Elephas maximus indicus: one gene and its partners. The protein of the gene in region 3 purifies or fractionates together with the protein of the main gene of each other region. This does not show direct contact. Links are inferred from orthologs where the notes say so. Each region holds a gene or a part of one and is shown on either strand. Other genes may lie near its edges. The genes, in order: ARID4A, SAP30L, SINHCAF and BRMS1L.

Evidence for each region.
Region 1: the proteins of SINHCAF (region 3) and ARID4A purify together in Homo sapiens (affinity purification with mass spectrometry; 3 studies listed by BioGRID and IntAct, counting the BioPlex papers as one, with this or other methods). This does not show direct contact. The link is inferred for Elephas maximus indicus from reciprocal best matches to the Homo sapiens genes SINHCAF and ARID4A.
Region 2: the proteins of SINHCAF (region 3) and SAP30L purify together in Homo sapiens (affinity purification with mass spectrometry; 3 studies listed by BioGRID and IntAct, counting the BioPlex papers as one, with this or other methods). This does not show direct contact. The link is inferred for Elephas maximus indicus from reciprocal best matches to the Homo sapiens genes SINHCAF and SAP30L.
Region 4: the proteins of SINHCAF (region 3) and BRMS1L purify together in Homo sapiens (affinity purification with mass spectrometry; 3 studies listed by BioGRID and IntAct, counting the BioPlex papers as one, with this or other methods). This does not show direct contact. The link is inferred for Elephas maximus indicus from reciprocal best matches to the Homo sapiens genes SINHCAF and BRMS1L.

Annotation. Positions count from the first base shown.
Region 1 is NC_064828.1:70,643,488-70,651,386, forward strand, and holds the start of ARID4A (AT-rich interactive domain-containing protein 4A), read left to right. Parts: upstream 1-4,898; 5' UTR 4,899-4,992; intron 4,993-5,885; exon of another isoform or gene 5,886-5,977; intron 5,978-6,084; 5' UTR 6,085-6,135; coding exon 6,136-6,141; intron 6,142-7,899.
Region 2 is NC_064820.1:170,584,586-170,592,565, reverse strand, and holds the start of SAP30L (histone deacetylase complex subunit SAP30L), read right to left. Parts: upstream 3,020-7,980; 5' UTR 2,445-3,019; coding exon 2,247-2,444; intron 1-2,246.
Region 3 is NC_064822.1:89,800,960-89,807,899, reverse strand, and holds the start of SINHCAF (SIN3-HDAC complex-associated factor), read left to right. Parts: upstream 1-3,930; 5' UTR 3,931-4,113; intron 4,114-5,955; exon of another isoform or gene 5,956-6,037; intron 6,038-6,043; exon of another isoform or gene 6,044-6,419; intron 6,420-6,940. UniProt on the Homo sapiens protein: Subunit of the Sin3 deacetylase complex (Sin3/HDAC), this subunit is important for the repression of genes encoding components of the TGF-beta signaling pathway.
Region 4 is NC_064828.1:48,160,527-48,167,729, reverse strand, and holds the start of BRMS1L (breast cancer metastasis-suppressor 1-like protein), read right to left. Parts: upstream 3,017-7,203; 5' UTR 2,855-3,016; coding exon 2,713-2,854; intron 1-2,712. UniProt on the Homo sapiens protein: Involved in the histone deacetylase (HDAC1)-dependent transcriptional repression activity. When overexpressed in lung cancer cell line that lacks p53/TP53 expression, inhibits cell growth.

The DNA of each region.
Region 1 (7,899 bases), on a different chromosome or scaffold from region 3:
TTGTTCTGCCTTCTACAGGAATTTGTCTTTTAAAAATCTCTAGATCTGACTCCGTACTGTACTTTGACAAATCTATTGATCTTTATTAGCCATTATTAAATCTTAAACATCAAACCCATTTGGCCACAAAGTTTCCTTTGGTTACAATCATGTAATTTCCCAAAATATAACTAAATCATTAGAAAAGCAGCTACATTCAATAGTCATCAGTTCGGCTTCTCAACAATATACTGAAGTTTACAGAAATAACTGCACAGTGAAAAAAAATTCTTTTTCACAAGAGTTACATATATATGATAACAGCACGGGGATAGTTAAATAAGATTACATACCAGGAACAGAATTTTCAACACGCATAGCAGATCTAAGTCTTTAAAACTGGAAATCCGAGCTTCATTTTTTCACAAAAACCAGGCTTGTTCTAAAAGACAAAGACTTCTTTTAGAGTATGTTACAGTCCACACTGCAAAACACAGAACTCTGGAGTCTGATTTCAAAATAGGTTTATATAATAGAAGCATTATTAAAAAATGACAATTTTGATTTTGTAGGAAAAATTTAAAATCACCTGTAAAATCATTAGGAAACTTTAAGAACACATATTCTCAGTTTCAGCTCATTCAAATACGTTACATAAAAATAATTCTATCATACTTTATTTTCTTTCATTTATACCATGGTCTAATTCACTGTTCAGGAGTCCCTGGGTGACACCTGACTACTAGCCAAAAGGTTCGCAGTTTGAACCCACGTGAGGTGCCTTGGGAGACAAGCCTGACAATCTGCTTCCAAAAGGTCACAGGCTCGAAAATCCTACGGAGCAGGTCTAATGCGCATACATAGGGTTGCCGTGAGTTAGAATCAACTTGACGGCAGCCAACAACAACTAGCCGTTCTGTTAATATTCATGTGCAAGTACTTCCCAATAAAATATCATAAAATCCTTTAAAAAAAAAAAGGATCGAGAAATTACAAAACATTTCAAGTAACTACTACTTTGATACATTTTTAATGGGTTCTACATTTTATTAGCAGTTGAAACGCAATTCAGCATTAAATCAAGTATTTGGAATGTTAAAAAAGAAAATCTGAAGGTTACGAAAGCACTTGTGCAGTATCGTTAATTCTCAGAAGAAAATTTCTATAAAGAAATACTAGTTTATCTTACATATTTTGCATACAAATATGCATAGACTGATAAGAAATACTTACAGAGCACCTAACAAGTAAGGGAACATAACGATGAAAATAGTTGCTGCCCTCTGGGAGCACTCTCAAAGGGGGAAAGAGTTAAACGATTCCAATTAATGTGTGATCAGAAGAGGCGTGTAAATGGTCCAATGAGGGTACAAAAGCGCTGAGGGAATCCACCTAAGAATGTGGAACTTTAGACAGGGGTACCCAGAAACATAAAGTAATTAAACTCAACTAACCATACCATAAGAGCAATCTGTTTGTTCTTAGTATATTCCAAATACCACTTCTGTTGTAGCAAAATGTTTCACTGTACGAATGTTCAACTATCCTAAAGATCCACTTCAGAAGCACCTAACAGAAAAAACAGTTCAAAAAACATTCCTAACCAATGACATAAAATAACGTGTACTGATGAGAAGCTAGTTTGTTCTGTAAACCATCCAAAGTTCAATTAAAAACCAAAAACGAGGGGAAAAAAAATCACTCCTAAGGCCTAAAAAAAATTCTCAAATTTACATGTAACTTCATGATTGTAATAATTCCATTTGATGGTGAGTCATGAATAAACAGATTCAGGAGTGAAAGCTCCTGACACACCTGAGATTGCCGTGTGTCAGAATCAACTCGACAGTAACTGATCTGGTACCAAATTTTAATTATGAGAAACAGAAATATTTAAAATAAGGAATACAAACCGAGAAACTGCAAAATCCTTTCAGACTGCAGATCTGAACGACAACCTCAAGTAAAAAGTGGTCAGCACAACGCTGTACAGAATGCCAACCTTTATGATTCTCAGGGATACTTGTACTGGATTTATTTTTCTACCTATAATGTTTTATATTTCTGCTTGTGCTCTATTAAATTTTGACTCTCTAAAAAAACAAAAATAGAAAAATAGAAACTTGGGGGAAAAAGCAGTAAAAAGAAGCAGGATAAAAAACATAATTGCAGCAGAAGTAAAAGCTTTCTGATAGACAATTATACAAGTATCAAAAGCCTTAAATGTATAATCCCTTTGGTCTTATATTTCCACTTCTAGGAATTTATTCCAAAGAAATAATTAGGGATGTGAAGGAAGATCTAGATGACTAGAAATTTTAGTCAGTGATGTCAATCATTAGGTAAAATATTTTGCAAAACATATACAAGAACGCTCAGTGACACGTTACTGCTCTTCAGTAAAATTAAGACAGGTTTTATAAATTATCTAGCCTATACAGTTGGACAATATTTCCAATGTGCCCAATGTTTTCCATAAAGAGAAAAAACATGAGTGGCAAAATACACAACCAGACTGTGAAACAAAACAAACCAGAATCCCTCCATAAGTACAGCATAAAACGTGATTACCTTTTGGTAGAGAGAATATAAGAGATGGTTTTCTTCCTTGGGCTTTTTATAATTTCCAAAAGCCTACTCACCTGCATTATTTATATTAGATAATAATTTAAAGTTGGGCAGTGGAATTATAGGTGATTACCCCCTGGGAAATTCAGAAGCATTATATTGCTTTAGCATTTCCTTAAAAAATAAGAAAATCACTTCTAAATACTTACTGACAAGATTGTCTTCATATGCTAAGTTTTTACACAGGAGAAAAAAATCATGAAAATGTTCAGTGTTTCATGATAAAAATATTAAATACTTAAAAATCCAGAGATGAGAACTACCTGAATGGGTAAAGAAACATATAAGGCTGACCTAATTTCCTAATTTTTCAATTTCATCCTAAACTATCACATCAGGCAGCTCATATGAACCCTCTGCCAAACAAAATATCTTTCAACTACTATTCTTCCATACTATCATTCATGGCTCTCCTCTAGTGGTTCACAGAAAACTTTTCCATGTGGGTCTCCCCAATTCTAAAAATTTTTACAGGTATCAGGACTCACCTCAGTAATATCTGGATATTTGTCATTGAGATGTCCTATACTTTCCTCAACACAACTGCCAAAAAGAAACAGTAATAAATTAAGTCACTCAACCATTTTTTAGTCTTGAGCCCCACCAACAAAACAATAGGGTTTAAAACACTGGTATTATGAGGATAATTATAAGATATGCATCTTGGAAACTCTATGGGGCAGTTCTACTCGGTCCTCTAGGATCGCTATGAGTCAGAATCACTCGACAGCACTGGGTTTGGTTTGGGTTTTGGTATCCAGGTAAGTGTGGCCAGTCACTCAACAGAAAATACTGACATACATTTCACGTAATAAATAATCTTCTGAAAAATCACTGCTATGAATAAAAAGGTTCAGGTTTAAATTCCCTTATTGAGTAAAATCAGTCCACGTGGATTATCGAAAATATCTCACATTTTTTATTATCTGAGTCTTTAAAAGTACTTCTTAATGAATACTCTAATGCCACCACTTAAAATCTGTAAGTTTTTGTTTCACTCAACAGAGGAGTTTGCTAAAAGAATACCAATAGCTGCCCTTAACTATTCTTATCAGCGAGGTCCGAATGTATTTCAAGACCCTACAAAATCATTACTGTTTCCTTTCAAAAAGTAGCTCGAGCCTTGTGCAGTGTAGCTTAGCCACTTGTCCAAGGTCACAGAAGCAGCGTCAGTGCTGGCAAGCAAATTCCTCAGCATTTGGATACCCAGAGCATTCCTCAGTTTCCTCACAGCTTTGTCACGCGAGGAGCACGCGGAAAACCCTCTCCCCACGTAGGATGTGTCTGAGTAAGAACCATTCCTTTCCCGTCTTAAGGTGGCCCCCACAGCCAGTGACGCTCAGCTGGAGAATATGTCTATTCTAAACTGAGGAAGGACTGCTGGGACAATAGCAAACTCAAGAAAACCTTCCCAACTCTTGAGATCACCACCCAGAAAGCGACGCGCTCGTCTCCTCCGCCTCTTCATCTGTCGCGCGGCGAGTAAGCCTCGCCCCCTTTCCTCCCACCGCCCCCCCCCCCCGCCCCGAGGCAGAGAGAATTTACTTTGCCATGGCTGTCGTGTGGCCCCTCCACTTCCGGTGCCGCTAAAGCTGCGCCATTCCCCAGTCAGGCAGGCTACCATAGCCTCCAACTGACCTTTTTGAAGGGTCCGTGACTCTTCCGCTATTCACTGAGTGGTGTCCTGGAGGGAACGGTAAATAGGTCCCGCACTAAAATGAACCTACCGGATAGACGCTCCAATCCCTTCTCGCCAGAAACATAAAATGCGATAGAGCTGTGGCCACCGCTGCCGAGACAAAATGGCGCCGAGAAGCCGCCTTAGCGCAGGCGCCTTAGAAAGACTCTGCCCCGCCCCCTTGCGAGCCCCTGGCCGCTGCTCCAGGTTCTGTTTCCATGGGACACTTCGGCGCCAATCCTCGTGCCGAACTGCTCTTCCTGACCCCTCAATTCACCAATCAGTGCTCAGTCAAGCACATCCGGAGTCGTTTTTACCAATCATTTCTCAGGACTTGCTTACTCAATACCTTACCTTCCAATAGCACTGGCCTTCGAAGATGGCCAATCATAAGTGGACGATGTCCTACCTGCTGTTTTTCGCACCAATCCGTGAAGTTTCAGAGCTACATCCAATGAGGACGGCAGCTAGCGAGCTCCAATCCGAAGCTCTTCGGCGTCATGAGCAGCCAATAGGAGTTCGTGTAGGAGCGAGTCTGCTCAACAGCTTGTTATTTGGTGGATTGTGGCAGTAAATCGGGCGAGTGGGGGACCGGGCGCAGGAACTGCTGCCGCGGCCGGTAGAGGTGCTGCCCGGACCGGGGCCCGCGGGGGGCCAGTGGGGGCAGAGCACTGGGGAGCTGACAGCGCGCACTTCACCCGCACTCGGTAGGTGGGGAGAAGGGAAGCGAAGGATACTGAATGGAGGAAGCAGTAGCAGCTGGTGCTCCTGCCCGGGGTCCCGGTGCAGTTGGAAGCTTTGGAGGCGTTGGAGGGGGGTGCCAGGCAAGCGGCGCAGCGAGCACAGGGGAAGGGGCAAGTCGTGGAGCAGTGGCAGCAACTGCAGGAACTGCCGCTGCAGCCGCCTCCTCGACCGCCTCCCCGTGTTCCCCGGGAAAATGGCTGTGGGGCTGGCCGCGCCGCTAAGTTTGCTTCCGCGCGGTGAGGAGCGGGTTGCTCCGGGGAGCCGGCCTCCAGCTCCACGGTGCGTCCTCTCCCGTAGTGTCCGTGGCAGGACCGGAGGGGCTGGGGGCTGGTGCCTCTCTCGAGCTGTACAAAAAGTTGAGGCGGGCGCGGGGAGGAGGCGGTGGCTGCCGCTGTGCGGCTCCCCTCCCCTCCCACACCCTGTCCCGGCCACCTCCCCTCCTCCTCTCCGCCCCCCGAGCCCCCTCCCCCTCGCGTATCTCCTCTCACCTCTCCGGGCTTCGGGCTGAAGGCCGCGGCCCCTGCCACTTCGGGGTGAAGAAGCGCTTCGGTTTCCTGACATGGTGCAGAGTGAAGGAAGGAGAGCAATGGCGCCGTGACACTCCGTTGCCTCCACCGCGGGCCCGGGGCGGGCCGAGGGGCCCGAGCGGCGGAGGCGGGTCGCGGGCCTAAGTCGAGAGTATCCGGGGGGCGGCTGAGAAAAGGCTCGGCGACCTTCCGTCTGGTGGGCTGTGGGAACCCGAAACGCGCACTGCCCTTCTCCAGCGCGACCCGTCCCGGGGCTCCGAGTTCAGCATTCCCAGTCAAAGTGGCGAGCGAGGCGGGGGCGCGGTGGGCCGCTGACGAACTCCGGGGCGGAACGGGCTGCCCTTTGGCGCCTCGAGGGTTCTTGCTGCCCCTCTGCCCCTGCGTCCTGGCCGCCCTCCGAGGGGATCTTATCCCTTTGCTGGTGAGGCTTCTGCCCCTCCCCGCTGGCGTTTGTTTACTTTCTTTCCCTGGGTCGCTCCCCGCTTTTGGCTGACTCTGTGCCTGTCTTTCCCCTCCCCATGATTCTAGCGACAGTGAAGATAGCTCGTTGAGCTGGAACCCCACAGATCACCAATAAAAATGAAGGTAAGTAGAATCAGTGCTACTCTGGATCTCGAGATGTCCCTGGCCACTGCCTGTCGTGAGGCTCCTGCCGTGGAATGTCATTTTTTTTGGTTCTCAAAATTGATTACTAAGCAGCACTTAATGAAAATGAGGACGTGTTGAATGGCTGAGAAATGATCAGTGTATCTAAATGCAGACGGTTCAGCCCCTTTCTGAAGCAGTTAGCGCTTTGGAAAGGCTGGTGCAACCTTTCAATTGTCCATTGGGCTAGTATTTTTAAACACTTCCTGTGTTGGCAGCAACCGTCGCAGAAGTAAAGCTTTTGTCCTGCTTTGGTGCTTTGGGGGATTTTTTGAAAATTTTTTTTCTTCTGTGCCAATGCAATTTGCTAAGAGAAAGAATATGGGGATTGAGTAAGGGGTATATGTCTTCTGGGGATATAGCGAAATTCCGGGCTAAAATATTTAAGTTGTACTAAAACTAATAATAGTTTTACTCCAATTTTCATAGTAAATTTTTTTTTTAAATATATCCAACCTAAAAAAAAAAATTCTTCGGAAGACAACTAATCTTGCAAACATCAGCATATGATATTTAAAGGGGAAGGTATCCTAACATTCTGGAGCGCTGTGGCACTCAATGTTTCAGTTTGGGTATTTTTTTGTGGAAAGCATTCCTCTTCATTTTGCATTCTTTGTAAATCCATTACCTTTAAAAGGTACCAGATTCCCGACTCGTTTACTGTTTCAGTGTATTAAGCTCTGAAACGTGTATGTGGCATTTTCCAAAACTTTCTTTTTCTTTCCTATCTTCTTGCACTAAGTGACACATCTAACCTTCTTTAATGTTACTAGGAAAAATAAAAAGCCTTTTTTTATTTTTTAAACTTAATCTGTCTCTAAAGTGTACACTGTTACCTTTGCACTCAGCAATGTTGAATTTGGAACTTAGCTTTAGGAAAAAATAGGCAAAATGACAGATTGAGATAGCAATCATTTTATTATTGTCAAGATCAAAATTAATGGTAAAATAAAATTTCTTGCATCGTTCAATGTATCATTCTAATCATGGCCATTAGACATTTCTTAGCGAAGCTCGTTTTTTATACCAGGATTACCAGTTCTGTAAGCTAGGTAGGGCTACAGTCTTGAGACATCAGTTCCCATCTCTGCGTTCATTAGCTGTATTTAGACTTAAACTTTTTATATGCCCCTTTCAACCAAAAAATTTTCCGAATAATAATCTCCTTGTCAGGATGGTTGTCTTCATTTCTTATATGTATAGTTACACTGTATCTAAGGTACAGGCTTTATGTAGCTATGTTAATAAACCTTTAATTGCATATTGTTAGTATTAATTTTAATAGCAATATTTCTTTTAATTTGAAGACAACATTTTGAGGAGACCATAAATGAATGGTTTAAAATTTTATGGGAAATGTCAAATGAATATAGTTTTCCTCTTTTTTATTGTTTTTCTGTATTTTATATAAATTGTAGAACTGTTGAACCATTTTATATCTATAAAAAATTATTGTATTTTCTTACTGATACTTTGTGATTACAACTATAAAACATCTTCTATTAGATAAGGACATCCAGTGTATAAAGAGCTATTTAATAAAATGTTGGCTTTAAGGGTATTTTTCTAATTATTAATGATATTAATAAGCAAATAATTTTAGCATTCCTTTCATTTTAAATACAGAACCTTTAAACGAGTCTTGAAGCTGAAGTAGGAAAAATTTTTATTTTTATTTTTAAATTTTATGATCCTTTC
Region 2 (7,980 bases), on a different chromosome or scaffold from region 3:
GCATATGTCCTTTCCTACCCCAACATTTTGCTTTATACTATTCTCAACTTCCACTTTTCTCCAGGAAAAAAACAAAAACAAAAAAACAGAAATGCATCAATTAGAGGATGTTTGAAAGCATGTTATATCTTTTAATAAAGCACAAAACACCGCCAATGTCTACATATAAAAAGTCAAATCACTTGAATCAGATTTTTGGTGCTGTTGTTTAAGAAGTTTCTCTGTTAGACCCTTTTTTAATGTAAAGAAGCATTATTTCTCCATAACCAAACCAACATACTGGTTTTGAGAAATTCCAGAGATCAGTGGCCTTTTAGAGGGGGCGGTAGTGGCAGCAAAGGCTGTAGTATCTTTTTCCCATCTCAATTTCTGCAACAGCTAAAAATTCTTGTAACACAGCATTTACGTAGAATTGAATGCCTGCCCAAGCCTGTGAGAATGAAATAGAATTCCTTTCAGAAATAATGACTATACAACACCACCTTGAAACAAATTGTGAGTGATTCCACCTCAAAAACCTACTGTTCCAGGAGCATTACCTTTGGGGAATGCTAGAGCTAGGTTCAGCTGCTTCTCTTCTAGGCAGTGCGTGTGAAATTATCAACATAGCTCAACACAGGCTCTCCACTGGAGTCACTGGGTAAATGGAGCCCCAGTCGCAGCAGCAAAATCGTTCAGATGTAAGGGCATTCAAAGGTTTAAAGGGACTGAAAACTACTCTTTTTTTTTTTTTAAGGACTGGAAAATATTATTGTTATAATCTGCTCAAGTAAAGGCTCCCAACAACCTACACAGAAGGCAGATTCCAAGTGGATGAATTCATTGCTGTTCTAGAAAGAAGTATTTTACTTCAACACCTTGTTGCCAATTAGGGACCTCCCTGATGTCTAGACAGTTGTTTGCTCTCAGATGAATTCTATTCATTCATTCATTCAGAGATTTGTAGTTAAAAAAAAAAAAAAAGGCATTAGCTCACCCCCAACCATTTTAAAATGGCACCTTTCCTTTCAAGAACTGCAAATACATTATAATCCTTAAATTGAAGGAACAAACAAACAAAAAACAAAGAACAAAAACTGGGAGTGGGAGAGCTTGGACGAAAGAGCAGGGAAGAGGTTTACTTATAAAAGACTTAATCAAGGATTATGCATGGGACTTGGCAGTAAATTAGACAACGGGTTTAAGAACTGTACCAGTCTCTAAGGTGCCCTGTGACTTTGAGCAATGCCCCTTTCTATCTCCGGCCTTCAGTGTCTCAACTACAACATCAGAAGTGAAAAATAGTCTCCCTTTCAGTTTAAAAAGCAATGAGGATTCTCTGATTTTCCCTAACTGTGGAAAAATTTTGATTCTAAAAGCGAATGGATGTTAACCATCTAAGCTCTAAGCCAGTCAACCAGAATATTAAATACCCCCTTAACTCATTTCTAATTCCTAATCATGAAGAAGCCACTTAAGGATTGCTGCAACAGATGTCAAACTAAAAAGTTCTTAATTGGTTGACAATAGGCACATCTTTAGAATTGTTAACTAGAAATGGTAAATCACACAGGAAAAGTTTCCTATAATTAGGCACAAAACACGAGGCAATCCTATTCCAATTTAAATCAATTTTCCACCCCCCCAACAAAGAACCCCGCATTTCTAAAGCGGCAACCACTAAGGAAATTGATTTTTTTTTTCCTTTCAGTTACACTGACACCGAAGACCTGGCCTTGACTATTTTCTGCCACATCCTTGAAGAACCCATTTCCCCACAGCTGCCTCTGAAGCAGCGAGCTCAGGGACCCACCGCACACACTGAGGCCGCGGCGGCCAGGGTCGAACTGTCACCTTGCCTTTTCTGAAGGACTAACAAGGCTGCCGGACGCTGGGGGGTAAGCAGGAGAAGAGCCGGGTCCCTTCATCACCCCCTCCCCAATACCTGTTCCTTTGTGGGCCAACAAGATTAAGTCACCTCTCACTGCTCTAGTATCTAAACCAATAAAAGAAGACAAAAACTGGTGTCCAACCTTCCCAGGCAGGAAGAGTCCTCGGAACCTCCCCGCCCCCCGGATTTGGGCACAATCACAGTCATGGCATGTCAGCGCTGGAGCGGCCTTTCAAATTCCGAGTCCAACTCGTCGGCTTGGGAGATAAAGGGCGGCGAGGCCGGGAGCGAGGAGGGCCCGGGAGTCGGGACGGCAGCCCGGGCAGTGGCCGGAGCCGCTGGGCGCAGGGACCCTGACCCGGAGGGGCGGACTCACGCTCTTGTCGATGTCCAGCTTGAGTTTCTTCTGCGAGATGCTCTTCTGGACCCTCTTGCTGAAGGAGGCGTTGCCCGCGGGCCGGACGCAGCGCTCGCCGTCCTCGATGAGGCAGCAGCTCTGGCCGTAGCCCGGGGCGGCGGCGGGGGCGGCGGGGGGCCCTTCGCGGCTGTCCTCCTCGGTGCTGAACCCGTTCATCTCCCCGGCCCGGGCCGGCCCCGCGAGGGGAGGGTCCCTGGTAGGCCACTCCGCGGCCGCGCTCCCTGCGGGGCAGGTCGCTGAGACCCCCGTCCCCGAGGGTCCCAGACTCGGTCTCCGGATGAGGCGCTGCCCTGCCCCGCGCCCGGGAGGCCCGGCCCCGCTCCGCCGCGCTCCGGCTCCTTCAGCCCCCTGGCCCGCTTCTCCGGAAACCCCCTGTCTCCCCTCTCGAGGCCCCGGGGCCGCCTCCCGCGGCTCGCAGGGCCCCGCCGGGGGTCACCCGGAGCGTCTCCCGCCGGGGGCCCAGAACGGTCGCCCTCCGACAGGGACGTCCGAGAGGGTGCCCCAGGAAGCGGCCGCTCTCCAGGCACTCCCAGCCCGGCTTGCCAGGGGGGTTCGAGGGCCCCCGCCGGCTCCCGCCTTCTTTCGGCTGCAGGGCAAACTCGCTGCTGGGCAGCTCTCCCGGGGTGGCGCGGCCTCCCCGCGCGGGGCCCGGCCTCGAACCCGCGGCGCCCGGGCCCCGCGGCGCGTCCGGCCCGCCCCACCCCTGCAGCCGCTCTGCTGCGCCCCGAGTCCCGCGGCAGCCCCTGGGCCGCCCGGCCGCCGCCCGCCCAACGCTCCGCACCACAACAGTTCTCTCCCCCCGCCACCCCCCGCCCTCCGCGGGACAGCGGAAGTCCCGCCTCCTTGCGCCCATTGGCCTCGCTCGTTCTCTGGGCGGGGCCTCCGCCGCCGCTGGCGCGTCCCATTGGACGTTACCGCCGCCAGTTCCCGGCGCCTGGCTACTTCCTGGACTCTGCTGGGATGGGTTCAAAGTAGAGAAAGTGGAAGAGGCAAGAGTTGCCGGCCGAGGGAGGAGGGCCGGGCCGCAGACTCCCTGGCGGTGGGGAGGGATGGTCAGCTGGGTCCTGGCTGGACGGAGGGACAGTCTCTGGGAACCGAGGGACGACATCCGGGGGCCGACATAAGTACAGACGGGGCGAGGGCGCAGAGGGACAGACATGGGGGTAGGGGCATATGAAGGAGGACCTAAAGGGTTTACAAGTACTGTCATGAAAGGGACAGACTGGGTAAAACGAAAGAGACGGGACCAGAGGAGCCGCAGATCGATGGGAGGTGGGGTGTCTGAAACAGGACAGAAAGCCAGCCATGTCAGGAAAAACAGAGGGACAGTCCCGGTATGGGCACGTGCAAAGAGATGCGGGAGAAATGATAGGGGTCTGATAGGGAGGAGAAGCAGAGCGGTAGGCGCAGGGTCAAGGTAGTAGGACGGTTGGGTGTGGGGGAGACCCCAGACTGTAGACATGGGACTGGCTTGGGAGGCGCTGAAGTGTGTGTGGGGGGGTGACCCCCAGGGTCTTGAGTGGTCCCTCCGTTGGGAAGAATCCAAAGTCCGGACAAGGTCTGAAGGGTGGGCGAAGTGAACCGCGGGAAGGAGGGGCGGCTGCGGAGGAGGTGGAGAAAAGGCTGGATGGGGCGGAGGGAGGGAGCAAGGGCCAATCTCGGGCTGGGGAAGGGCTTGCAGTATATGGGGCTCTCCCAGGAGCTCGTGAACTGCAGCTTCTATAGCTCCAAGACCTACTGTCTAAAGGCGAGGCCATCGCACCCTGCCAAGCCCCCACGCTTGGGATTCGGCGCCCTGGGCGGCACACACACCTGGACAGGAGATCCTCTAGGGTAGGCCACCCCTAGTAAACAGCTTAGGGAAAATGATGTCCAAAGGGCCGAAGGGACTTGTCCAGGGTCACGCAGTCGTTTAGGGCTAGGTAGAAAGTTTACTTGCAGGGAGGGGGACGTGAGCACGTTTTCCTATTTAGAGAGTACTAGATGGCCAGAAAGAGCTTCGGATTTGTATTCCGTTGTGAAAGGGAAAGCTACCAGTTACCGTGTTCAAAAGCGGATGCTGTGTGATCTTAAATTTGTCTCAGTGGCCTTAAACGTGTTTGTACCCTCTAACCTAGTAATTTCACACCTGGGACATCCATCTTCTGAAACAGGCCTACCAGAGAAAAAATTAAGCACAAGGGTGATAATTATGAGATTATAATAGGGAAAAATCAAACCTAAAAGTTTCACGAAGTAAAGTGGTTAAGTAAATTTCCTAACATCTTTAGAATGAGGTATTTTGCAGTGATTTATGATCTTTTCAACATTTAAGGTGGTTTCAACATTTATGTAAACATTCTGTATATGTAACAATTCAGCATCAACTCTTCAACAAAGTTGAGAAATGCTTTTTAAAAAACAATGTTAAAAAGGCAGGATATAAAATTGTTTATGGGATATGATGTGTTAACATCTATGTTTAAAAAAAAGAAAAGCAACTATTTGTGCATAGGAAATATACCAAAGTGCTAACAGTGATTATTTCTGGGTAGTGGGTATATGGTTGGTATTTTTCTCCCTTTGTTCTACTTCTCTGCATTTTCCCTAATAAGCATTTATTGTTTTTATAGTAGAAAAAATATAGAATAAAAACTTAATGGAATAAAGGCTAAGTTTAATAGAATTCCTCTCAGAGTTCATATCTTCAAAAGAAATTATTGAGTACATTGTGTCTGCCTGGTGCAGGGTTGGCTACAGGAAGAGAATAAAACATAACCCTTGCCCTAAAACAGACTGTTGTCTCACTGGGGAGCTCAGACATTTACACAGAAAACATATACCTGAATAAGGCAGTGTGTGATGTTGGTTCAAGGTGATTGGTAGGGATAAGAGCTCTACACTTTCCACACATATTTCACACTTAGATATTTTTCAAAATAGCATTTCTATCCTGAGCCAGACTCCTGCAGTGCACATAGCTTCTTCAGCACCAGCTTCCCCTAGAATCCCCAGGTCTGTTGGGAGATTTTGTATCAGTTTTGTATTGAAACACTGTAGTGATAAACCTGTTGTTGTTGTTAGGTGCCTTCAAGTCAGTTCCGACTCATAGCGACCCTATGCACAACAGAATGAAACACTGCCTGGTCCTGCGCCATGCTTACAATTGTTATGCTTGAGCTCATTGTTGTAGCCACTGTGTCAATCCACCTTGTTGAGGGTCTTCCTCTTTTCCACTGACCCTGTACTTTGCCAAGCATGATGTCCTTCTCCAGGGACTGATCCCTCCTGACAACGTGTCCAAAGTATGTAAGAGGCAGTCTTGCCATCCTTGCTTTTAAGGAGTATTCTGGTTGTACTTCTTCTAAGACAGATTTGTTCGTTCTTTTGGCAGTCCATGGTGTATTCAATATACTTTGCCAACACCACAATTCAAAGGCATCAATTCTTCTTCAGTCTTCCTTATTCATTGTCCAGCTTTCACGTGCATATGATGTGATGAAAATACCATGGCTTTTTTTTTTTTCTTGGGTCAGGTGCACCTTAGTCTTCAGGGTGACATCTTTGCTCTTCAACACTTTGAAGAGGTCCTTTGCAGCAGATTTACCCAATGCAATGCATCTTTTGATTTCTTGACTGCTGCTTCCATGGCTGTTGATTGTGGATCCAAGTAAAATGAAATCCTTGACAACTTCAATCTTTTCTGTTTATCATGATGTTGCTCATTGGTCCAGTTGTGAGGATTTTTGTTTTCTTTATGTTGAGGTGAAATCCATACTGAAACCTAGTTAACAGCTTTTCCAACATACTTTTGTTAGGTTGTTATAGTTATGTGCCATCGAGTTGATTCCTACTCATAGTGACACTATAGGACAGAGTAGAACTGACCCCTATGGCTTCCAAGGCTGAAAACTTTACAGTGGCAGAATGCCAGGTCTTTTCTCCCAAGGTGTGGCAGGTGGGTTTGAACCACCGACCTTTTGGTTAGTAGCTGAGCACTTAACCATTGTGGCACCAGGGCTCCATTTTCTTACGTTAGGTGTTGTCAAGTTGATTTTCAATTCATATCAACCCCAGGTGACAGAGTAGAACTACCCCATAGGGTTTCCCAGGCTATAATCTTTACAGGAGCAGATCGCCAGGTATTTTCTCCCTTGGAGCTTCTGTTGGGTTCAAACTGCCAACCTTTTGGTTAGCAGCTGAGGGCTTAACCATCACACCAGTAAATTTCAGAGGGTGGATTTCTGGCAAGCTTCATTAACAGGACTTCTCTGCCATTCTGTGAACCACGGCTATGGCTTCTCCAACAGGGTCTGAATTTCTGTACGCTTTAGAGTTCTCTGTACTTCATTTTAGTCAATCTGTCCTTCCTACAGTTGCCTGTTAAATTAATAATTATATTAAACATTCCCTGTTCAAATTATTGTATGGTTTCTCTTTCCTGATTATTGGACTCAGACTGATATAACCAACCTTTCTATGTATTTTCTTTTTGAGGAGAAGGGCATGATTTTGCCTGTCCTTTACATATGATTTTGTAGTCTGCTTTCTTCAAGGAATGCTTTATCAGGAGCTTTCCCAGTGCTTGTTACGTAGTTCTCACAACCGCTCTTTTTAATGGCTGCATAATACTCCCAAGTGCTGTAGTACATTATACTACTGTGCTTAAGACGATGGACTTTGCTTCAGAACTGGGGTCAGTCTGGGCTCCATCCTTTACTTGCTATGGGTAATTCACCTGTGTTTACCCTTACTTGTATGAGAGAAATTCACTTCTCTAAGGTTGATGAAATGCGTGGTGAGAAATAAATGTTTAACACAGTGCCTGGAACATCATAAGTGATTAATGTTAACTGTTGTTTTATTACCATAGTTTACTTACACTTCCCCCAATCATTGAATATTTTTGTGTTTTCATTTTTACCTGTTATTAATAATAACACAACAATAAATATTTTTCAACATAATATTTAAAAAATTTAATATCATTACCTTAGCAGACTCCCAGAAGTGGAGTTGTGGTCAAAGACTAACATTTTCATGACTCTCAATGTATATACCATGGTCTCTTAACTAAGCTCCCTGATCTTCTCCCCTTCTCACCCCAGGCTCTTTGGTGCCCACCAAATCACTCCATCCAATTAGGCACCAGTTTAGAAGAATCCCCAACCAGTCCTTAAAGGATCAGGGCTAGACACCTATACCAGGCCATCACAGCCCTAGATAAGCTCTTCCCTCCCCTGTGCTCTGCCCTTTCCTTATTTGGGGTCTTCAGTAGATTTCTCTGGGCGTGATTTCCAATAAGTGCTCTTCTTTGGCAACAGGTGGACACTTAGGGATGGATCCCATGCTGGTTGGTGGGTTAAGCATATGGCATTGGTCAGTTTCTCCCCAGAGAATGTGTCAGTTGGAACTGAGAGGGGGATACGGGGAGTGGTGGGTGTAGACACACACTTCTGATGTTACCTGCCCTCTGTCCTCCCCTGGATCTGGTAGGGGGAGCTTGTCCTGTGAGATACTCATAGATATCTTGCTTGTTTGGAGACTGGAAGCTCTGTGAGGACAGGGAGGTTTAACAGAAAATTTCCAGCACCTAGGTTTTTTTTTTAGGAACTTAGTTAATATTTGTTCAGCGAATAAATGAATGGATGGATGAGTACATGGACGGATGGTTGACTTGACCATTACGGCAGTACAACATAATGGTGGGAAG
Region 3 (6,940 bases):
CCTCTTCTGAACTTGAGGCACTTGTTTATCTCATGGAATGATAGATTTATAGAATTCGATGGGAGTTTAGAGGTTAGCTATTTTTGTATCCTAAATAATATAATTCATTGAATGGAATTATTGAAGAAAGATATTTTTGGCTTTGTGTGCATGTGTGTTTTGGTTTTTTGGTTGGTGTGTATGTGTGTGCACAGGTATAAATACCATTAGTGATGGAGAGTTGCCTTTTGAAGTATCTTGAACCATCATTGTGTTGAAATTTTTTTTACATTTAGCAAGAATTTACTTTCTTGTGATTTTCAAATCTAATTCCGTTCCAAAACATAAAAGAACACATTCATTCACTCTTCTAATAACAGTCCTTCAGGTAGTCAAAGATTGCTATCTTGCTCAAACTAAACATGCTCCCTCCTTCAATTATTGCTTCTATGTTATAGTTTCCAGCCTCCTTCATCATCCTGGCTTACTGTCTTATGAACTCATTCTAGTTCGTCAATGTTCTTGAAATAAAATAATTTTTATTATCTGTAATTTTATCTTTTTAAAGTATGCTATTCAAATGTCATAATATAGTGATAAATAAAGAGATTACTCTAAGAATGAATTTTTGTCAATTAAGTCATTAAGTTCAGAAACTTGAAAAGTCAATTTCAATTAAATAATAAATAGCTTTTTCTGGCAGCTGCCAATGGTTGTTGGAGGATTGGGATATCTTAGATCACATAATCAACTCCATACCTTATAGTGTAAAATTATCTGACTTGTTCTGACCACTTGCTTATTTGAACTTCAATAGGATTTAAACAAATAAGTAGCAAAACATTGTACTTGCTTTGGTGTGAGGAAAAGAGCTCTTGATTTTGTCTTACAGCTATTACTCTGTAAGGAATTTATCCCAAGGTTTAATAATAATAATCAGCTCTTTCCTGGGCTCAACAAATGATGTTTTGATGTGGTACCTGCTTGGATGAAGATATTAGACTTCATTTATAAAACAATCATTAGCTTGAGTTGTCATTACAAACGTTACTAACTGCTGATAATATCCTTCATTACCAAGCAAGAATTGTCCTCTTCTATCTTTGATATAGGTTGCTATGAGTCGGAATCGACTTGAGGGCAGTGGGTTGGGTGGGTATCTTTGATATAATTTTTCCTCTATTACAAGAATATTATAATAAGTTTTAAAGTTGCAGACAGCAAGTAAATCTCAAAAGAAAGCAATGAATTTTACAGAAGAAGAATAGCAAATAAGATAGAATTGCACAGAAAGAAATTAGGAGAGGTGAGGTGGCTTGAGCCCCTCCAGAGATAAAACGGTTTCACTGTCTGGCACATGGTTACAATTAAATGTTTGCTGAATGAATGTTTAAGCATTGAGCTACAATATGTTATAAGCAAGGTATTTGGTTTAGTCAGAGTATCTGGCTACTTAGGTATATTTTTAATTTCAATATTTTTATGAATTCATAGTGAGTTCAACATAGCACTATTGTATTTAAAAATACTCAAATATTTTCTTAGCATGGTGTAATTCAATCTCCTGTAATCCAAATTTATATTTTTCTTTCCTTTTTTTTTTTTAATGTTCAAAAATTCACTTGGGCTTCTTAGGTAACAGTATTTTTAAAAAGTATCCCATAAATGAGCTATTGGCCCTGGATAAAGCCAGCCGTAATACCAACACGTTCAAGCAACGTAATGAACCTTTGGAATGCACCTGGTTGTTCAAAAATACCAGGTAGTTGTTAAAAAAAAAAGAAGACTAAGGAATTAAAATTTCCCTTTAAGAGTTCTGTTGCTACCTTTCTTACAAAAATTACCCAGACTACTTCTTTACCTCTACTTTGAAAGCAAAGGAAATCCTGCTACACGGTATTAATTCAGTAGGTCTGGAGCTTCCAGGTACTTTCTTATCTAAACAGTATATTCTAAACACTGTAATTCCTGCAATGCTTGCACATTTGAACCTATTCCATCCTTGGAATTAAAAAATATATTCTTTACATAAACTTCCAAGAGAAAAGGCATTCAAGGTATACTTTCATATTTGTTGTAAGCAATAATAGAAGTTTTAAGAAATATTATTAAGATACTTGCAATTTTCATATCTCAAATGGCGTATAATTTGAAATTATTTTTGGAGGATCTGCCATAAACCAAATATGTATTTGAGGTAACTCAGGGGAACTTTCAAAATTTTCTTTAAAAAGAAGGTAATTTTTTATGCTCAGGGTCTAGTGTGCCATCAGTGAAAACCCAGAAATGGTTATCCAGCCTATTCAAGTTTATTATATAAGGACAGAGATGGCATTATATCAATTGAGGTGATCATTATGACTTCCAAACTCATTTTAGGTCAAATACAAAAATTGTAAACTAAAGCCAAACTCTTTTGGCTTGAGATAAGTCTACAATAAATTTGAAAATATCCATTGATTTATTATTTATCAACCAATCATTCAGAATCCATTACCTGTTGTGCACTGTTTTAGGCACCAGGATACAAGAATGAGTAAGAAATAAAACCTCACATTCTAGGGAGCAGTGTCAGGAGTTTTTTTTTCCTTCACAGGTATTAAAAAATAATTTTAATATACAGTTACAGGAATAATATACTAAAAATATTTTTAAAAGCAGAATAAGACTTCAGAAGTGGGTTTGTACTGTGTACTAGGAATTGGCTGTTGAACTAGCGTTTCACAAGTATCTATTTAAATCCATATTGTTGACATTACAGTGAAAGCAGTGAAACTTGTCAGCAGATGATTAAGTTTTACGGTTGATGTTCACACTTTTGTATTTGGGACCAATATCAAATTTCTGGGATAAACATCCTTCCTCTCTCCCCACCCTCCTGCATCATTAAATCGGGGTCTCTGCCTGTTGGGGTTAAGTGTGTTCCCGGGATAAAGGTGTATCACAATCATTCTTTTTTCATTTAATGGCAATGTTTTTTTTTTTTTAATCTGAGAAGTTACTTCAGTTTTTTTTTTTTTTTTTTTGTTGAGGCTAGAAACGTTTAGATTGTTGGTTTATTAAATATTCCACAAGGAAAATTTCCATGTTTCCCTCGCCATTTTTTCAATTCCTAAGACTACCAGTCAGTGCTATTATTTCTGGGTGAGTGGAACACCCTTTATAGGCAGCTGGAGGAGGTACTCATGTCCCTAGATTATTGGCTTTCCACTGACTAGGTTTTTGAGAAAGCGGCACTGTTGCCACTGAAATTAATAACTATTAGTCTCCACAGTCTTGAAATCTTATGGCCGAAGTGAAGGAAAAAAAAAAAAAGGAGTTACCGTTTGAAAAGGGCAGGTGGGAGTTACTGAATGGACAGGGTATGAAAATGGGACTTTATTAAAAGACCCATTTTAATTGCAAGCAAAAATAAATCTGTTGGCCCGAGGATTAAAAAAAAAGCTTCAAAAACCCAACTTCAAAGAAAATGCAGGAGACGTGGGAGAAGATGAATTCAGCCAGGGTGCTTATAAAACCACCTTCCTTGTCACCTCAGGCCAAAAACTGGGCACAGGTGTGAAAAGTTTACAGAAACAGCCTTCAAAAACTTCTCTCAATGCGAAATAGTGCGCCCTCAGAACCTCTAGGTGGAAAGCACGTCACGGGGTCTGTGTTCTCCCTTCGTGGCTAACCTTTCCGCCTTTCTCATCCCGCCACTCCCCCTCAGCCGTCGTCTCCAGCTAGGGGCCGTTTGTTTATGTGACGTCCGCAGTAGTAAGCAGTCCCCGCCCCCGTTTCCCTCTGGCCGCCTCTTTTCCCGCGCCGCGGCGCTTCTCCCCTTAAAAGGACAATAGAAGTTTCGGGAGCGCGCGCGGCCGCCCGGCCTACTCCCCTCCCCAGTCCTCGACGCGCGCGCGTCCGCATGCAAATAAGTTCGATTCAAGAGAATTTTGCACTAGGAGCTGCGCGTGCGCAGAAGGAAAGCGGAATCTACACCTTCCCGGCCAGCGGTAGCAACTGCAGAACTGCAGGAGACAATCTTTCTAGACAAGGCAGTTGAGGAGGAGGGAGCGACTGGCGTGGGGGGGCTGGCCTGGCGTGCACTCCGCACTTCGGGAACGTTTCTGCGAGTGAAACGGCTGCTTTTGGAAGGTGAGTTACTCTAACAATTACTCTGGTGAAAAACTGTTTGACGAGGCTTTGATTTCAGGGTTTTTTTTTTTTTTTTTTTCCTTCCTCTCTTTTTACCTCATCCACCTCCCCCAGCCCTTCCATACACAAACGTACACACACACACAGGAAGTTTTGTCTTGGAGATGGCATTGCTGGGAGCGCTGCTTTGGTGATCTTCAAAGTCCAGATTATTTTCTATGCATACGTTTACTGTGCATTTTTAATGGAGGGGGGGAGGGTATTTGAGGGAAACCGAAAGTCTTGGGGTGGGAAAGTGAGTGGAGCCTGGAAATAACTGAGGAGTCGCTGGAGTTGAGGGATCCACTTTGAAGGTGACAATGACTTTTCTCGGTCGCAGTGTTCTCTGGCTAAAAGGAGTTCCATGGCTGAAAGGCCCAAGAGAAAAACGACTTGCTGGCAATTGCGGAGGGGACTGGGGTCGTGCATCCGCGTGGGCGCAAGCCGTGGTAATGGTCGGGCGCCGTGGTTAAACCTCGTGCTTTAGTTTATTGCAGCTCCTTGCGTGTGTTTTGATAAGGGTGGACAATAAACGCCATTCGCTCGAAAACTAAGTTGCCATCTACTTCCGAGCAGGCGGGCGTGAGGGGGTTTAAATCGGCCTTTCGGGCTAAAAAAAAGTGCTGGGATTTGGCGAGTGCACGCGGCGTGGCGTTATTTGCTGAACTCCAGAGGGATGCGGATGCGACAATGAGAGCAACACGCGGCGCTTGAGAGCAGCCCCAGCTTGCAATGCCTGCTCTGCTCGGACCGCGCCCATGGAGCTTTTGGTGTCCGATGTTTCTTCGGAGCCTTAAGTTGTGTTACCAATTTATTCACCTGTAGCGTAGTGTGGGCGCAATGGCTAGGGCTTTCTAGGGCGACTGTGTGCGCTTTAAGATGGCCAGTTAGAGCTAAGTTGTCTTGGGGATGGAGGCAGCTGCGTTGTCTGCGCAGAAGGAGTGAGTGAACTCCGGAGGGCACTGCTTTTTGTGCTCAACATGACAGACCACGTGCTTTGGGCTGCGACCTGGGCTTTAGTCGGACGTCGGTCTGAAGGTCCGGCTCCTTGTTAGCAGCAGTCAGATGCGGTCGCTGTCGGGTAGGTCCGGCCGGCAGGACAATGTGATTTGCTGGTGATGGCGTCTTGCCAGTTTAAAAAGCAGAGTGAAAGTCGCCAACTCTCGGCTTGTGTGGGGCCTTTCTCATCAAGGACACTGTGAAACTTTGATTAAACCGGCCCGTTTCCAACAGAGAGGACCGGAGGACAGGCTCCTGACTTAGTGGGCTCGAGGTCTGAAGCCTTCCCCGCCCGATTGTCAGTGTCTTGCCCCTGGGAAACAGTCCGACATCCCTGATGCTGCACGTAGGCAGCGCCCGGCTGGACAGAAAACAAAGAGCTGCATGTGCCCGTGCGGGCCCCGCAGGCTCTCCGGGCGACCGCCGGGGCCGAGGGCGGCCCGGGTCCCGGCCCTCCGAAGTTCAGGCGCGCTTCGGGAGGGGCTTTTGTCCCTCAGTTCCTCGTGGGGAAACTTTGCGCTACTTGTATGAGGTGCCATGCTGGTGCGCGGGGAGGCGGCGTGCTTCCCCCGCTCGGGGCGAGCGGTCGGAGAGCTGGGAGCCCTCGCGGCCCCCCGCGCTTCGTCCTGACCCCGGAGCCCGCTGCCGCGGCCACCGAGGGGCCAGGAGAATGTGGCCTGGAGCTGTGGGCCCGGTACCCGGAGCCCGGAGTGTGTGTCTGGGAGGTCTGTGGATTCGCCTTTGAAGTCGAACTGTTGCCATGTTTGAATTACGTCAGGGCAAAGCCATGAGGAGGAACAAGCCCCGGCAGCGCAGCGTGCGGGAGGCGCGGCCTGCGGGAGGCGCCGGGCCGGGGCGGGCGCGGGGGCCCGTTGTTCCAGCGCAGGTGAGGGAGGAGGGGAGCGACGGCTCACCTCCCGCTGCCCTCGCCCTCGCGCTGGCGAGCAGCCCTCAGGAGGAACTTTCTTCTCGACCCAAGATGTCTTATTTACCAAGAAATTCGTCAGGGTGCATTTCTCTTTGCTGGCTTAGTGTCACCGCGTGCCGGAGGGGGAAGCGCAGTTTGGGGGAGACCCCAGGGCCGTAGAAGGACCGGAGTGGAGGGCATTTTGCCGCTTTCGGAGAAACCGGCGAGTGCGACGAGCACCTCCCCCCGCTCTGGCCCGCAAGTACAGGAACCCAGCCCCGACGACACCAGAAAACCACCGCGGGGAAGTTTCGGGGCTCCCGCTGTCGCTGCGAAGGGAAGTGAGGACTGTGGCCGAATTGTGCGTGCCGCTGTTTTCTTTGTGTGTTTGCTCGTGGGAGGGGGAATCGGGCGGGGCAGGGCTTCTTTTGGTTGGAGGGGGGTTCGGTTTCTGGGAAGGTAGGACGGTGCAGAGTTTGTTCTGGTAACTGTGACCCCCAGTCGGTTTTTATTTTTATTGTTGTTTTCTCTTTCTGCCGTCTAATAGACTTTAGATTACTACAGGCTTTTGGATGATTAGGAATTACTACTTAACTAAACATGGACCCTGGCCGAGACAGCTTTACCCCAGCATTTTTTTTTCTCCCCATTCCGTATGTTGTCCCAAGGAAGGTTAAGAAAACGTCTTTTCCCTTTTAATAATTTAAAAAATTAATCTGACCTTGTCATTAAAAGTACACAGAAAGCACCTGTTTTTGAACTGAAGTTTGCCAGACTTGCCAAGCCTTTTAATTTATGTTGCAAAACTGAACACATTAGGTTGCTCAATCTAAATTAAAGTCTGGGAGTTTGGTTTGGGGAGCATTTAAAGTATTATATAAT
Region 4 (7,203 bases), on a different chromosome or scaffold from region 3:
TTTACACAAAAAAAGAGACAATCTTTGATGGTTATGAGGGAGGGAGGCATGAAGATGGGAAAACACTAAATAGACATTAGATAAGTGCTAACTTTGGTGAAAAATAAGACAGTTTGCAATACTGGAGAAGCCAGTAAAACTTGTTCAAGGCAAGGTCATGGAAGCTCCATAGACAAATCTAAACTTCCTGAAGGACTGAATTACTGGGCTGAGGGCTGTGGTGACCATGGTCTTGGGGAACATCTAACTCAACTAGCATAATGTAATTTATAAATAAAATATTCTATGTTCTACTTTGGTGAATAACATCTAGAGTCTCAAAAGCTTGTGAGTAGCCATCTAAGATAACTCCAATGGTCTCACCCCATCTGAAGCAAGGGACAATGAAGAAAACCAAAGACACAAGGGGAAGATTAGTCCGAAGGACTAATGGCCACAAATACTACAGCCTCCACCAGACTGGGTCCAGCACAACAAGATGGTGCCCAGCTACCACCACCGACTGCTCTGACAGGGATCACAATAGAGTGTTCCAAACAGAGCTGGAGATAAATGTCAAACAAAATTCTAACTCACAAAAAAATATCAGACTTACTGGTCTGGCAGAGACTGGAGAAACCCTGAGAGTATGGCCCCGGACACACTTTTAATTCAGTACTGAAATCACTCTTCAGCCAAAGATTAGACAGGCCCCGGTTTACCCTTCAGCCAAAGATGAGACAGACCCATAAAACAAAACAAGACTAAATGGGCACACCAGCCCAGGGGCAAGGAGGGGAAGGCAAGAGAGGGCAGGAAAGCTTGTAACGGAACCCATGGTGGAGAATGTTGACAACTGATGTCACAAAACAATATGTGTACTAACTGTATAGTGAGAAACTAGTTTGTTCTATAAACCTTAGTCGAAAGAATACAAATTTTTTAATTAAAGCAAAAACTACTTGCAGATAAAATGTTTTAAGATCTAAGACATGTACTCACTCAGAGTCTAGATTTCCTCAAAGTTTAAGAAAGAACTTGTGATCTTCTTTATCTATAATCCCCACTTACCTCATAGCTAGGCAGATGACTTTCAAGTTATTCTTCCCATCCCTGGCATGCTCCAATCAACCATTTCCATCTATCAGTGGGACATTCTTACTTAAATATACCACCATCACCTCAAATGCGACCTGTCTAAAATACTGTGCTATTACTTATGTCCCATCCTTATCTCAAATCTTTTACTTTTCTACTTCTTGTATCAGGGTTTCTCTCTTACCTTCACTCCTAAACTTGCATTCATTGATCCTGTTTTATGCTTTTTGAAATCTTCCGTATCTATACCTTTCCCTCCCCTTCATAGCTCAAATCCTTCTCCAAACCAAACTGGTTTTCTCCTTCTTTTAAATAAGCCTTAAGCTTTAGCTTTTACACTTTTTCTTATACTCCTCCCCCTACAGGAACACCCAACTATTACCACCACATCCAAATCCTACCCATTCTTCAAGATAATTAAAGTAATCCTATCTCTTCAAGGAGTTTTTGCTGGCCATCCTATTCCGAAAAGATTTTCTCTGCCTCTGAATTCCTACAGCATCGTTTATAGTTAAGCATTCATTTAGGAATTTAAGGAAGTGGTGACAATCCTTCAGGGAGACTGAAGTGTAACTATTTATACCGCACACTGGGTAGTGCCCAGTGCTACAAAAAGAAGTCACTGATAAATGTTTATTTTTGGATGGTTGATTTATTAATTAAAGTTACATTCTTCCAAAGAGATTTACATTTAAAGGGGAACCTGAAAAGAAGGCATATAGGGATGATAAGAGACTGTCCTCAACCTGTACCCTACATGGCCAAAATCAGGCCAGAACAAATGAGTTTCATCCTCATTATAACGATAAACGGAAAAAAAAATTCAGGTAGTCACAAATTCCATTCCTTTTTTGAAAAACCATTCCTAAGTTTGCAAAACTGATATGAGGTGTTAATCCCCCTCCGTCATCGAAAAAAAAAAAAAAAAAAGCCTAAAATAGCCCAAAGGTAGAAAAGAGGGAAGGAAGAATGTACTTGGAGAAATTGAAAGCTGCCAAAAATCAATTTATAAACACAAGTGGGATCTTCTCCTCGAAGTTGGTCCCTTCCTCTCGGGCTTGAAAAGTTCAGGGAGATGCTGTAAACTGGACAGCTCCCAAGTCAGTCCCCAAAAGAGAACTGATGTAAAACGCTGACTGTCAGGCTGACTCCGAAGCTGAGGTTAGTAAATTCCAAGCCAGCCAAGGGCTGGTACAAATCTACCCTCGGCCCCGAAAACCCACCCACGTTGAGAAGTAAGCGTTGCAAAGGTGAAAAAAGGAAAGAGGTCGGTGGTCTGCGAAGAGAAGGCATTTCCTGGGTCTCCAAGACAAGCTGCCGGGCCTGTCCACAGCCCCAGGACACAGCCCGGGGGTCCCAAGGGCGGGTCGAAGCGCGAGCAGAACAGTGACGCGACCCGAGGCTGGGCGAGCCCAGGCCCGTGCTCCGCCCCGCCCCACGCCAGGGACACGCCTGGAGCCAGGCAGCGCCCCGCGATCGGTCCGGGTTCCGCGGAGGGCTGGGAGCCAATCCCCGCCCCTTCCCTCTCTCCCCGCCCCGCTCTCCCAGCAGGACGCAGCTGCCCCGCGTGCAGAGAGCGGCCTGTCGCGCGCCCGGCGCGGGGACTCAGGGTCCCAGTCCTGCTGGGTCGCATACCTGAGCTATCTCCATCCTCGGAGACCGACGAGCTCTCGGTGTCCTCGTCCTCGGAGCTGCTCCCCTCGTTCTCAGCGTAGTCCACTTCCATCTCATCGTGATGGTTCGTCTCCTTCTTATCCCCTCGGGAATGCACCGGCATTTTCCAGCCACGCCGTCGCTTCCCACTCCCGGCGCCCAGCCCGGCCACCGCCGCTTCAATGAAGGGCGCGCTGAACGCCCGGACCCACCCCACTGCCGAGCTCGTTCTGAACCCACTGGGCTCCTCCCCGCCCCCGGCCGGGGCCTCACAACCTAACCCGCAGGCTCTGCACTGGGTGCTCTGCCATTGGTGGAGGCTGTCCTCCGAGCTCGGGGGCGGGGTTTGCCCTGCTCAGGCATGGTTGGTTGTCCGTCATTACAGCGCGGCCTCCTGATGTTAGTAGGGAGTTGTAGTCCTTATTGCGCAGACGTTCAGGGGCTGACGGCTTCCCTGCCTCAACAGTCCTGATCACTTCTCCCCTCTGGACTTCAAGTCCCACAAGGCACAAAAGCTGACACACTCGATCTCAGTTTATAAACTAAACAGAAACAGATTGTGGAACTTTGGGTCCGTGTTTATCCTTTTCCCGCCAAGTGGATAGTCTGAGCTCCCTGGATATCTAAGACTTTACGGTCGGGTGTGAAAAGGTCTTTTGCCTGAAGGCATTTTGGCTGCTCTTTGAGCTGAGTGAACTGGAGAGCCGTTTCTTATACCAAAATACCGCACACAACTATTATTTGGATTAGTAATTGTAGACAATAACTTGCACTTTCTGTGGTGTACAAAAGTCTTTAAATTGTTCTTGAAACTTTTGCAGTCAATAATCTAGAAAGGAATGGTGTTTTATATTGTCATTTTCAATATAGACTGTGGTAGAGTATATATAACAACATTTGCCATTTCAACCATTTTTACGTGTACAGTGCAGAAACATTAATTACATTCACCAAATTGTGCATTCATCACCACTGTTTTTGATTTTTTTTCATCATCCTTAACAGAAACTCAGTGTCACCTAGGCAATGACTCTCCACTTCCCCCTCCCACCTGCCCCTGGTAACCATTAATAAACTTCAGTCTCTATGTACTTGCCTATTATAGATATTTTATGTAAGTGGAATCATACAATATTTGTTCTTTTGTGTTTGACTAATTTCATCAGCATAGGGTTTTCAAAGTTCATCCATGTCACTGTTCGTATCAGAACTTATTTCTCTTTAAGGCTGAATAATATTCCATTGTATATATATACCACATTTTGTTCAAACATCCCTCTATTGATGGACATTTAGGCTATTTCCACCTTTTGGCTGTAGTGAATAATGGTGCAATGAGCGCTGGTGTACAAGTACCTGTTTGAGTCCCTGCTTTCCAGTCTTTTGCGTGTATCACTAGGTGGTATAAGAGTTCAGCTGCTAACCAAAATGTGGGCTGTTCAAATCCACCAGGCAGTCCTTGGAAACCCTATGGGGCAGTTCTGTTCTGTCCTATAGGGTCACCATGAGTCAGCATCAACTCAACAGTGGTTTTTATAGTAATTCTGTGTGTTTAACTTTTTGAATAGCTACCAAACTGTTTTCCTCTCGGCATCATTTTACAATCCTACTGGCAATAGGTGAGGATTCCAATTTCTCAACATCTTCACCAACATTTATTGTTTTCTGCTTTTCTCATCATAGCCATCTTAGTGGTCATGAAGTGGTATCTCCTTGTGGTTTTGATTTGCATTTCACTAGTAACCTTATACATTTTCTCATGGGCATACTAGCCATTTGTATACCTTCTTTAGGAGTCCTTGAGTAGTGCAAACAGTAAATGAGCTAGGCTACTAACAGAAAGGTTGGTGGTTGGAATCGACCCAGAGGTACCCCAGAAGGAAGGCCTGGTGATCTACTTTGAAAACATCAGCCATCGAAAACCCTATGGAGTACAGCTACTCTGACACACTTGGGGCACCATGACTTGGGATTGACTCAATAGCAACTGGTTTGTTTTTTTTGTATCTTCTTTGGTGAAATGTCTATTCAAGTCCTTTGCCCATTTTTTGTCAATCATATTTTGCATTTATTTTTTACCAAATGCAGCGAAGATGCCACCATCTTGATTTAAGTTCAGTTTTCACTGATACATACGTGTTTGACTCAATGAGATGCTGTTATATTTTCTCAATAATAAACAGACAAGGAAGACTCAACAATCAGTCTGATAATAGTAATAATAACTAGTGTTAATTGACCACTTTTACTCTGTGTGGGTACCTTGGTAAACTCTTTACATGGTTATATTAAGTTTAATTCTAAATTTAACAGCCTTGAGGAAGGTGCTATTATTAACCCTATTGTACAGATGAGGAAACCATTTGCAGACAAATCTAAAAACTATGTTTTACTCATTATAAGACAAGGCTTCTTCTTGAAGTGATAATTTGCTGTTGAAGATTTCATAGAATATTATGGATTATATGGCATTTCCTTCTCAAACATGAAATTCAAAGACATTTGAGGGAGGGTGGTAAGGGTACCCTGGCCATAATTACATTAGGTTTGGAAATTAATGACAGAAAACCTTTCGAAATCTCTCCATCTCCCACAAGGTAAAATCCAAATTAGGGGTTTTTTATTATCTAGTGTCAGCCTACTTCTCCCCCTCTCACTATATTCTCCAAAACTGAACCCCTTATAGTTGCTAAATACAAAAACTGTCTCCAATCTCAATACCTTTGCATATCCTATTTCCCTCTTCTTCTTCTTCCTGGTGAGTATCTATACATTTTTCAAAGCCACTGTCTTGACAACACATTTCCCTATCGGTTCCTCCACCTCTCCATACAGCCTTATGTTCCTTCAGGCTAGAGCAAAACTTTGTACTTTGCAACTTCGAGTTTTTTCTATCACACTGTATTATGAATTGTTTATGAGAATGCATCTCACTTATCAGATTGTGAATTCCTTGAGAGCAAGGATTATCTTAGTCTGGGCTGCAACTTCAAAGGCATGCAGTAGTCAGGCTAAAAGTAGTAAAGCTAAAAGATGGAAGCTGGAAGTGTGCACATACATTATGTGAGTGGTGTGGACTAAAGAGGGCAGCTGCTTTTTGCTCTACCCAATTGTTAGTAAGAATTCTGGCTTAAGATCATCAGACCTTCCAGTTTTATGAGAACCTGGAAATTTATCTCTATGTGAAATAGTCAGAATTATAAAAATTATAACAATTATTTGTTGTTTTTGTTTCTCAAACTCCATACCAAACAAAAACAGCTGTGGGTAAAATCTTTAGCCTCCATTTTCTCTGTTATATCCTCAGTTAGCAGAGTGCTTGCTAAATAGTAACGATAACTAAAATTTCAAATCACTCTCTACCTGCCAATTACTGGTGTGTACATTCATTTCTCATAACAATCCTATGAGGTAGGCACTATTATACCATTCATTTTATAGATGAAGAAACCAAAGCACAGCAAGGTTGGATTACTTGACCAAGGTTACACAGCTAATAAGTGTCAAAGCTGAAGTTTGACCTTGGGTATTCCAAAATCAGAGCCTGTACTCTTAGCCACCAGAACTCCAGTGCCCCTCTAGCAAGTGCTATCTATGTTTGTGCTGCTCAAAGAAAAACAGAAGGAAGGTGGAGAGGAAGAGGCATGGGTTCTAGCCCTGGCTCTGTTAGTATCCATCTGATTAAATTTGGCAAACCACGTAATCTCTGGTCAGTTGTGAAATCAGAAGGTTGCATAATGTAATCCTTAAGTTCCCTTACAACTCTTAAAATTGTCATCATCACTAATGGTGTTTAAAGAAGACAGAATAATAGGAGATTATGCAGTTAGAGTTGCATGATGGTGTTTTGCCTAAGGTGAGGGTTTCCTCCCCCTCTCCCAAACACATTTTAGAAAAGATGTGAAGGAAATCACATGGAGTAGCAATGAGTCAGAATTGACCAGACCACAACTAACAACATAGGGGGGAAAAGTTAAAAAGGCTAGAAAAGAATATTGTCAATATGGAAAATATAAATTAATGTAAAGAAAATCATGAAAGTAGGATGAAGTTTCCTCAGTCAAGGCAGTTAAGTGATGCTTTATATTTGTATAGCACTTTACATTTTACGTAGGGTTTATACAAACATTAGATACATTTTAATTAATCCATTTATATTTACACATTTAGTGTGAACCCTCTGGAACTCATAGTTAGTCATCATCAAACTCGCCTATATCTTCGCCCTCTTCTCCGAATAGTCCCTTCAACTTCTTGGTCTAAAGGAAACACAGCTCTTCCCCTAGGACTCTACTTCCTTTGTGCCCTTCCTTTCACTGAGCCTTGTTGTGGAGTGTATGCCTTCCTTGTCCTCCTTGTTCCTTCCACATGATCCTCTCTCCTGCCTCCCTAAGCCCCCAGCTTGTCGCCAGTTTATACCACACAGTACCTCTACTAGTAGCTGTCATCTACATGACCCCAGGACTACTACTC